Canis lupus familiaris: one gene and its partners. The main gene of each other region encodes a partner of the protein of the gene in region 2 in a complex. Links are inferred from orthologs where the notes say so. Each region holds a gene or a part of one and is shown on either strand. Other genes may lie near its edges.

Region 1 (2,865 bases), on a different chromosome or scaffold from region 2:
CAAGATACTAATCTTGTTAGGAGTTCAGTTTTATAAATACCATTTATTTGGAGGTATTGAAAATGTGGATGCAGAAGTACATGAATTACAACAGAGTCAAAGGGTTACTGCCACCATATGCTTTGAATCAGCTTTTAGGAAAGATGCCCTGATATCACCAACTTGAGCTTCTAAAAATATTTTCCCCCACAGTGGCCCTGAGATAGGCAAATTCCCCCATTATGCAGAGTGGCCTAAGGGCTCTTGTTTTGGCCTTTTCCCCTCAAGTCCCATATGAATATTCATGTTATCTTTTACTGTTTGTTGTTGTTAACACTTCTGCTTTTTATATATCCTAGGTTGATATTTGTTTTGTTTTTGCCTTGTTCGGTTTGGTATAACTAACTGTCTGATACGGCATATTTATCATTAAGACTTCTTAAAGCGAGTAGGTGCACCTCCCAATGGGTGGACTGTCTGCATGTCATGCTTTGGGGCCCAAAGGGCTGTTAATGAGCATCTGAACACTCACTTCTGCTTCCTGGAGTTTGTTGTTCCTTGGTATTTCTTACTGTGCTTTTACTCTCTCTCATGTCATTTGTTGCCTCTCTCACATTCCACCTTTAGTGTGAAAAGTTTGATCTTTTATAAGCATTGTTATTCATTAAATTCTTTTTTTTCCATCTTGAGATCTGGCCACTATAACAAATTGAGTCAGCTCAAATCTTCAGGTCTTTGAGCTGTTCTTGTGGTATCACTCACAAAAAGAATTTGTTAGTTTCCCCTCCTCCTGACTGTGTCCCTCATCTATTTCCACATTCAGAGCTATTTGGACGTATGGAATCTAGAAAGTTGTGGTTTTGTTATATTAAGATTTTAAAGTTCATTCCAATCTATAGAGATCAGTAGGTGTCTGTACTATGGACAAAAGTAGATTCTGAATGGGAGTCTTAGAGAAATGAGAATTTGTTAATTATGTAAATGTAATATTTCAAAGGCCCGGTTTGAAATTGTTTTTATAATTATGTAAATCTATAAATAAGATGAAGAAATCAAATCAAAGGATTCCATTTCTGGGGTGCCTGGTTGGCTCAGTTGATTAAGCATCTGCCTTTGGCTCAGGTCATGATCTACATCCAGGTCCTGGAATCAAGCCTTGTGTCCTCATCTTTGGGCTCCCTGCTGAGCAGGGAGCCTGCTTCTTCCTCACCCCCTATCATGCTCATCTCACTTTCTGTTTCTCAACAATATATATATATTTTGACCTTTTTTTTGTACTTCATACAGGTTGCTGCTGAAGAAATCCGGTTGTAGAACACCAAGGATTGAATTGGAAGAGATGGGGCCCTCGTTGGATCTGGTTCTGAGGAGGACACGTCTGGCTTCAGATGATCTTTATAAATTATCTATGAAAATGCCAAAAGCCCTCAAGGTTTATAACTTGCATATTGTTGCCATATTTATTTGTAAATTCCACTCTTCTTTCCAAAAAGGGTTTGTAGCATAGTACAGTAAAGGACAGACAGAAAGAGATCAATAATGGAGATAAAATTAGACTCTCAGAGCAAAGAAAAGGAGGAAGCAGCAAGTAAGCCAACCATAAAGGATAATAAGAGAGTTGTAGAAACCACGCGTTAGCTGTGGTTGAGAGCTTTCTGGTAGCAAGACTGTCAGTTTTCAGCAAGAAAGAGAATTGTTTGAGGCATTGTGGAGATTGGGAATTTAGAGCACAGGCTGTGTAAACCATACTGGGATAAAATGTATTTTGACTTCTGAATGGTTCTTAAAAACAAGTAGAAATGGCATCTCTGGAATGCCCATAAAGATCGAAATGATAGTCACAATTCCTTAAGCTAAACACAGGAAATTCTCTCAGTGCATGACAATGGTTAACATAGTCTATAGTGTTGTTGTCCGAAGTGTGGTCTGACAGTTTACCTGAGAATTCTTAGAAATGCTGAATCTCAGGTCCTACTCTAGACTTGTTGAATTATAACATGCATTTTAACAAGATCCTCAAGTCATCTGTATGTATTTGAGAAGAAAGGTCTCTAGAATAGACTATATTCTTGAATAGGTGCTCACTAGTGGGAATTGCTAGTAACATAGTTGTACACTAGATTTTTACAAGGCTATGATAGTAGATACTATTATATATATTTATATACATCTATATATTCTTATTTCACAGCCAAAGAAGAAGAAAAATGTCTCCCATGATACTTTTGGTACAACTTATGGAAGGATTCATATGCAGAAGCAAGACCTAAGCAAACTACAAACCAGGAAAATGAAGGGGTTGAAGAAGCGACCTGCAGAAAGGATAACAGAAGACCAGGAGAAAAAATCAAAGAGAATTAAAAAAAATTGATAGAGGGATCCCTGGGTGGCGCAGCGGTTTGGCGCCTGCCTTTGGCCCAGGGCGCGATCCTGGAGACCCGGGATCGAATCCCACGTCGGGCTCCCGGTGCATGGAGCCTGCTTCTCCCTCTGCCTGTGTCTGCCTCTCTCTCTCTCTGTGACTATCATAAATAAATAAAAATTAAAAAAAAAATTGATAGAATTAGCCAATAATGTTAATTGTAGTCTGTTTTCTTTTTTTTTATTTTTTTTAATTTTTAATTTTTTAATTTTTATTTATTTATGATAGTCACAGAGAGAGAGAGAGAGAGAGAGGCAGAGACATAGGCAGAGGGAGAAGCAGGCTCCATGCACCGGGAGCCCGACGTGGGATTCGATCCTGGGTCTCCAGGATCGCGCCCTGGGCCAAAGGCAGGCGCCAAACTGCTGCGCCACCCAGGGATCCCTGTAGTCTGTTTTCTTAAGAGAGTTATTAATCATCGGTCATCTCTAAGTTTCTTACAAGATTTTATTGTATATTTTTAT
Region 2 (3,986 bases):
TTTAATGGTAGAAGTGAGAGGCTTGTCTCCTTTTCCACCAAAGTCCTTTGGCTATTTATTCCTGTTAAAGAAACTGGTGGATTCAATGCCAGGTTCTCCCTGCGGTGCTGCTGCTGAGAATTAGTGTAAACCGGGAAGCCAGCAGAGCTGGCTTATTGTTTGCCAGCAGAGCCTTTGTCTGTCAGACTAATCTGCAACCCATCTTTGGGCGTGCAGGATGACTGTTGATTATACACCATGTCTAACATTTTTTGGGGGGCGGGGGAAGGGGGTTGCTTGGATATAGTGGGTTTATATTAAGAGAAATCCCTTCTTGGGCAGCTGGGTGGCTCAGAGGCTCAGCGTCTGCCTTCAGCTCAGGTTGTGATCCAGGGGATCCTGGGATGGAGCCTGCTTCTCCCTCTGCCTGTCTCTTGCTTCTCTCTTGTCTCTCATGAATAGATAAATAATTAAAAAAAATAAAAGCGTAACCCCTTATGCGTGCTCTACACAATTACTTCATTTAACTTTCACAACAATCTCCTATGATCTAGGTACCCATTTTAAAGCTGAGGAAAACTGAGGCTCAAAGAGGGTCTAATTAGTAACCTGGCCGGGGTCGCGTATTGGGTTAACTAGAGCACGACTGCGTCTCCACAGCTCAGGGCTCTTCAGCCACCTCTGTTCTAACTATAAATTCCACATGTTCACATTGTCCCCGAATAAGTTTAAGATTTTCTTTTTTTTTTTTTTTAGTTTTTTTTTTTTTTTTTTTTTAAGATTTTATTTTATTCATGATAGAGAGGCAGCAGAGGGAGAAGCAGGCTCCGTGCAGGGAGCCGGTTGCGGGACTCGACCCCGGGTCTCCAGGGTCACGCCCCGGGCCGAAGGCGGCGCTGAGCCCCCCAGGGATCCCCTACTTGGCGATTTGCACGACTGATTTCACGTGGCCCTGGAAGTCGGTTCACGCCAGGAACCACGAGGTCCGGAGACCGTGGGAGGGAAGGGCGCCCGTGGAGACCGGAAGCTCAAGGAAAAGCTTTAAAAAACTATTTTTGGAAAACCCGCGTCCCGGGGACCAGGCGGCGCCCACCCGCCCGCCCGCCCGCCGCCCGCCGCCCGCCGCGGCCCGCGGGGCAGCCTGGGGAGAGAGCCCGCCTCCTGACCCATAAGGCCCTGGGCCGGAAGCTTCGCCCTCTCTTCCTGTTCTCCACCATGGCGGTGAGTAGCTGAGGCCCTGCTTTGCTTCTCTTCATCCGCCTCCATCCGCCTTCATCCGAGGCGGGAGCTGCCTCGTCCGCGGCCGGAGAAGGGAGCCCGTAAGGCTCGCCGTGGCGGAACTGGCAGAGCCATGCGGGCCGAGGCCGCGGAGCCGAGCCCTGCCCCCTCCACTCCCGCTCCCCTCCCGCTCCTCAGCCGGCTGGGGGCGGCCGCCGGGAGGGCGAGCGGAGCGCGGCGCGTCAGCTGCGGGGAGGGCGACGGAGCGAACGGAGGGGCTGGACCTGTTCCCCGTCCCGGGGACTTGAGGCTTGCCGGGTGCTTAGGGAGCCGCAGCCCGCCCCTCCGCTCGAGGAGGCCGCCTGCCCTCTGCCCCCCGGGCTGCTTCCGAAAGGAATGGGGGACGTCGCCCAACCACGCGCTTCCTGTTTCCTCAGCGGCGTTTAAATCCGATTTTCTTGCCCGTCGGCTTTGTAGCGGGGACGCGCGCTCCGACACCTTACGGGGGTGAGCCCCTTGGGGTTCGAACTCCCGCTACCTGCCCCAAGTTTCTGTTCGTCCATTCCTGGCGCGGAGGGGGAGCCCAGCTCCCGAGCTGGTGCACAGACACCGCGATGCTTTGCAAGCCCGTAAGGCTGTCGTTAGGAACCGGGATGAGCAGAACTAGGTAGGCGGTGTCTACAGATGTGGGACTCGGAGCTGTGGCGGGGTGGCGTGTTGACTGCTGCGCTTCCCTCGTTGCAGCAGGATCAAGGTGAAAAGGAGAACCCCATGCGGGAGCTTCGCATCCGCAAACTCTGCCTCAACATCTGTGTGGGGGAGAGTGGAGACAGACTGACCCGCGCGGCCAAGGTGCTGGAGCAGCTCACGGGCCAGACCCCAGTGTTCTCCAAAGGTCAGTGGTGGCCGTCAGGGGAGAGAACATCCCTGCATGTTCTTTTCTAATTTACCTGGTATACAGCCTCTTCAGTGCCCGTTTTGAAAGTGACAGTTGATGCCCCTTAAAAAGCATCACCATCCTGAGCTACCCAAGAAGTATTTTCCTTTGTTTTATTTAATTTTATTTATTCATGAGAGACACAGAGAGGCAGAGGGAGAAGCTGGCTCCATGCAGGGACCTGATGTGGGACTCGATCCTGGGTCTCCAGGATCACTGCCTGGGCCGAAGGCAGACGCCAAACTGCTGAGCTACCCAGGGATCCCAAAGTATTTTCCTTTCAAGACGGGTTTGGTTTTGGAATACCAGGTCTTTAAGTTAGCAGAGCTTCAGCCAGGGCCAGCCTAAGTAGAGATTTTTCCGGGTAAAGTTAGAAACATTAGGAATGCACTAGGTGATATTTGGCTTGAATGACTCACTGAGAATTTATAGGCTACATGGAGAAGGGCTCTGTGCCTAGGCCAACTGGGTTCAAATCCTGGCCCCATCATTTGCGGGTCTGGCCTCAGCCTTTCTGGGTCTCAGCTTCCTTATTTGCCTAAATGAGATGATAATAAGATTGTGAAAAATAAAATAGATTTTATGAAGTGCCTGCTACATACCAAGCCCAGCGTGGACATTAGCATCGTTAAGTTTCTTTGCTTTAGGATAATGCAGTATGGCACATTGTTGGGTTTAGATCCTGCCTTTTGTTACCAACTGTGATTTGGGGCAAGTTAACCTCCCAGAACCTCATCTATAACAGGATAACATTAGAGAATTATCAATAATGTTTTGTTTTCTTTAGAATACAGTGACCATATTCCTTTCTAGTGGCCTCTTCTGGCTGTGAACTTGGCCCGTCCTGAGACTTAGATGTGACTTTGAGCTCTTAATTGCTTAAGTATGATTGAATGACTTGGAAGTTGAAAAATCTGTTTTCTGTGCTATGGATGAAACCAGATGTAGGTGACACTGGTAGGAATGCCAGCACTTAGGATGTGGGTGGATATTTAATGTGTCTTAGAATTGTGGAGATGATGTTCTAGGGAAGAGGTGAGTGCAGTGGGAGTGTGATACCTGACTCCTTGTTTTCCCCTCCTGCAGCTAGGTACACGGTTAGATCCTTTGGTATCAGGAGAAATGAAAAGATTGCTGTCCACTGCACAGTCCGTGGGGCCAAAGCAGAAGAAATCCTGGAGAAAGGTCTAAAGGTGAGGCTGATCCCCTCATGGGATAATAAAGAGCACCAGCTTATGTGTTAACAACTAGATAATTACAGTGGCAGTGGTTATACTTTGTACACTGTCTTTGGTCCCTTGATATATTTTTTTAATTTGAAATTTTTTTGAACCTCTAAAGGGTGTTTCCTGCACCCAACAAGGTTTTAAACTTTATTCTTGAATGATTTCTCTGGGTTTTTCAATGCCTTTTAAATATTGGGAAAGCTCTATGAACTGCTTCTTCTTTTCTTTTTTTTTTTTTTAGCTCTAGAAACTCCTATCGTGGGTTGTGATTTGGTGTCGTGGGGAAATGAGATTTTTGTTCATGATCAAATTATATCGAATTGTATCTCAGGGTGCTGAGTGATGAGGACTAAACTAATAATTTGGGGGGATTTGAATTGACGAGGGATATGATTGCTGCATTTGTCTCCTTAGGTGCGAGAGTATGAGTTAAGAAAAAATAACTTCTCCGATACTGGAAACTTTGGTTTTGGGATCCAGGAGCACATCGATCTGGGGATCAAATATGACCCAAGCATTGGTATCTACGGCCTGGACTTCTATGTGGTATGAATATTTAGTCTTTTCTACTCCTGGTCTGTGAGAAGAGTGGAATCTGCTACTCCTTTATTTTGTGTGTGCTATCT
Region 3 (3,520 bases), about 11 Mb from region 2:
TTTACAACAATTTAACTCATCAGAAAACATTTGCAACTTTTTAAAAATTTTGTATTCAAATTCAATTTAGTTAAAATATACTGTATTATTAGTTTCAGTGGTAGAATTTAGTGATTCATCAGCTGCATATAGTATTCAACCCAGGCAGGGCTCATTCCACCACGTACCCTCCTTAATGCCCATCACCCAATTACCTCATCCTCCACACCCACTGTCCCTCCAGCAACTCTCAGTTTGTTCCCTACAGTAAATAGTCTTTAATGGTTTGCCTCCCTCTCTGTTTTTATCTTATTTTTTCTTTCCCTTCCTCTATGCTCATCTGTTTTGTTTCTTAAATTCCACTTATGAATAAGATCATATAGTACCTGTCTTTCTCTGACTGACTTATTTCACTTAGCATGATACCCTCTAGTTCCAACTAAACATTTGTATGTTTATAACTTCTTCAGACACAGGTGGCTTTTGTAAAATAGGTATGTTTTACTTAAAGGACGGTACATGCAAATGTGGCTCCTCAGACTATCAGTGTAATGAAAGATTTTTTCTTTTCTTTTTAATTTCTAATTCTTTACAGAATTATTCTTTTACAAAATACAACTTAAAAGGCTCTTAGATGTTGTGACAATGTGGAATTACTAATGAACATTTATAAAGGTTTCTCCTCAATTTCTGTATGTATCAGGGACTAGTAACAAAGAGTCTGGGGGCCAAAGGCCAGCACAGGGACAACACTTAGCAGGCTTGGGTACATTCTGGCTTCCTTTAAATTCAGTATGATCTTAAAAGTTAGGGCTATTTCTGGTGAAGCAGTATTCCTTTAAGAAAAAAAAGTATTTTACATAAAACTATGAGTAAATGAAGAGATGGCTATGATCTCTTCAGTGCTTAGCTCCTTCCTTGCATTAAAACAAGACCATGGATTACACTTTGCAGATCAGAAATAACTAACTGAAAGTATCAAAACAACTGGTATTGCCTTACAACTTTGACAGAAAAATCTCTAAAACACAAGAGGAACCAAGCCCAAATGTGTTTTTCTTAGTGTATTCCAAACAAATCCATTTCTTTCCAGTCTCAAAATTTCACAGCTGATCCATGCCCACCCAAATTAGTCAAAATACATGCTACTGCTGTGATCTAGTTTAGTTCCCCAAATGCATTTGTATACAAATCCACATACACGCATATATCCAAATGTAATTTTTTTCATTAAGAGACTGATTAAATTCACTTTAGCAAAAAGCCAAGAGAAACTATGGTTGCTACCATAAAGACAAGACCTAAGAAAGCCATGTTAATATATACAACAGAATCTCAGAAGTTCACTTTACTGTATGTAAACCTTGATTTTCAACCCAAAGTAATTTGACACTTGTTTAAAAACTCATGAATCAAAAAAAAATAAAATAAAAATAAAAAAATAAAAAATAAAAACTCATGAATCTAGCAAAATGCAGAAAGAAAACATTATACAATGCAAAATTACTTTAATCCTTTTTTTTATTAGAGAAAAATAAATTTTAAATAAATCTACAAGACTAAAGATACAAAAACAGAAGTGAGGTTTTTCTTTTAAAAGCTATTAACTGGGATGCCTGCATGGCTCAGCAGTTGAGCATCTGCCTTTGGCTCAGGGCTTGATCCCAGAGTCTCGGGATCAGAGTGCCACATCCAGCTTCCTGCATGGAGCCTGCTTCTCCCTCTACCTATGTCTCTGCCTCTCTCTGTCTTTCATGAATGAATAAATAAAATCTTTAAATAAAAAATAAAAGCTATTAACTAACTTTTGTGAATGTCCTTAATTGTAAAGAAAAACCGTCTTCTGAGATTAAAAGCCACCTACCAATTTCCTAGTTCAACTGTTTTTAAAATCCACATTTATTCATAAATCGCCCTTTTGCCAAAGATTTCATTTTGAGAAACTGATTTTTCAATTTTTCTCAGTAGTATTCATTCCACTGTTTTTTTCTCCTGTTCCCTTAAAAGTATATATTAGAGTCAAGAGAAGCATCAGTAAAGGGAATACACTTAGTCCATGCCAGGAGAAATGCATAATTAAATAAAAGGACAGCTGGATGCCTGGCCATTATAATGGGAAGAAAAGAAATGTTTTTCATCAATGATTTCTCCACTCTCCCCAGAGTTCTGCTGAGCCACCCAGCCTCCAGTCTGTCTCTCCAAATGGACAAGGGTTCCCCACTATGGCTCCCTATGCTCCATACCACACAGAGAAAACGTGAGGGAGTCAAGGCAGCTGAAGCTGCCAGACTCTACTTCCCCTCTCCCATAGAAGGGAAGCAGGCCTATGTGAAATTTCAATCACTTATGTTCCTCTCAAAAAAAAAAAAAAAAAAAAAAAAAAAAGCACAGGTTATCCGTTTTCTGCTGGGAGTATGAGACAGTGGTACAAGACATTTAAATAGGGATCCCTGGGTGGCACAGCGGTTTGGCGCCTGCCTTTGGCCCAGGGCGCGATCCTGGAGACCCGGGATCGAATCCCACGTCGGGCTCCCGGTGCATGGAGCCTGCTCCTCCCTCTGCCTGTGTCTCTGCCTCTCTCTCTCTCTCTGTGTGACTATCATAAATAAATAAAAATTAAAAAAAAAAAAAAAACAAAAACAAAACAAGACATTTAAATAAGTCTAGATTCCAATTAACTTTGGCTCAGAGGCCAGGTAGTTGTGGGTTACTGTTTCTCAGTAAATGGGAGATGAATGCTTCAAGAATTAATAAAGCCTTCTAAGGATGGTAATATACTAGAAACCGCACCTGCTCACATAATTACCTTCCTCCCTTTCAGAGTGAAGAGCAGGAAAATTATGTAAGTATTAATCACAGATTTTAAAAGATTCAGAACAAACAGAACTCAGTTACACATTTACATATAATGAGGGGAAAAAAATCACTTCTGTAGAATAAACATGCTGTGTTGGAATAAAAATTTTTGAATAAGGCCACACATACTTAATAAATCATCACTTTTTCTTCACTTACCTACTGAAATAGCCAGGTCAACATTGGTGGAAAACCTACTTAAATACTTTAATACAATCTCCAAACACCCTTCTTTGTTGAATATAGATACTGCTCTACTACTGCATTCACTAAATTGAAGGGGGAAAAAAAAGTTTTACTATTCACATTTGAACATTAAGAAATCAACCATAGAAATTCATGAAAAGATAAATTAGGCTTTATAAAAGAACCCAAGAATTGGAGTCAAACACCCGCCATTTTTATAGATGAAGAAACCGATGCCCACTCAAATTCAATACACATAAACAAAACTGGCTTTCTGTATTTTTATTTCTATCACAGAACATTTTAGCCAATCCCTTACCTGCAATGTCAGTTTCCTTTACGAGGCTGGAGCCAGGAGAGATCTTAGAAATCATTTACTTCTATTCCTCACCCTATACATAAGGACATCCAGGCCCCAAAAGGTGAAGTGATCTATCCAAAGATCACACATTTTGTTAGTGGTGGTTCCTAAAGTCTAGCCTACTGTTCCTTCTACCAC

Evidence for each region.
Region 1: RPL11 (region 2) and RPF2 share a complex: the UniProt entries of both Homo sapiens proteins name them as parts of the hexameric 5S RNP precursor complex. The link is inferred for Canis lupus familiaris from reciprocal best matches to the Homo sapiens genes RPL11 and RPF2.
Region 3: RPL11 (region 2) and HEATR3 share a complex: the UniProt entries of both Homo sapiens proteins name them as parts of the hexameric 5S RNP precursor complex. The link is inferred for Canis lupus familiaris from reciprocal best matches to the Homo sapiens genes RPL11 and HEATR3.

What each region holds. Positions count from the first base shown.
Region 1 is NC_049233.1:67,908,572-67,911,436, forward strand, and holds the end of RPF2 (ribosome production factor 2 homolog), read left to right. Parts: intron 1-1,266; coding exon 1,267-1,411; intron 1,412-2,170; coding exon 2,171-2,350; 3' UTR 2,351-2,354; downstream 2,355-2,865. UniProt on the Homo sapiens protein: Involved in ribosomal large subunit assembly. May regulate the localization of the 5S RNP/5S ribonucleoprotein particle to the nucleolus.
Region 2 is NC_049223.1:75,176,896-75,180,881, reverse strand, and holds the start of RPL11 (60S ribosomal protein L11), read left to right. Parts: upstream 1-1,171; 5' UTR 1,172-1,194; coding exon 1,195-1,200; exon of another isoform or gene 1,201-1,340; intron 1,341-1,941; coding exon 1,942-2,092; intron 2,093-3,220; coding exon 3,221-3,327; intron 3,328-3,774; coding exon 3,775-3,906; intron 3,907-3,986.
Region 3 is NC_049223.1:64,485,107-64,488,626, forward strand, and holds part of HEATR3 (HEAT repeat-containing protein 3), read right to left. Parts: intron 3,105-3,520; coding exon 2,995-3,104; intron 1-2,994. UniProt on the Homo sapiens protein: Plays a role in ribosome biogenesis and in nuclear import of the 60S ribosomal protein L5/large ribosomal subunit protein uL18 (RPL5). Required for proper erythrocyte maturation.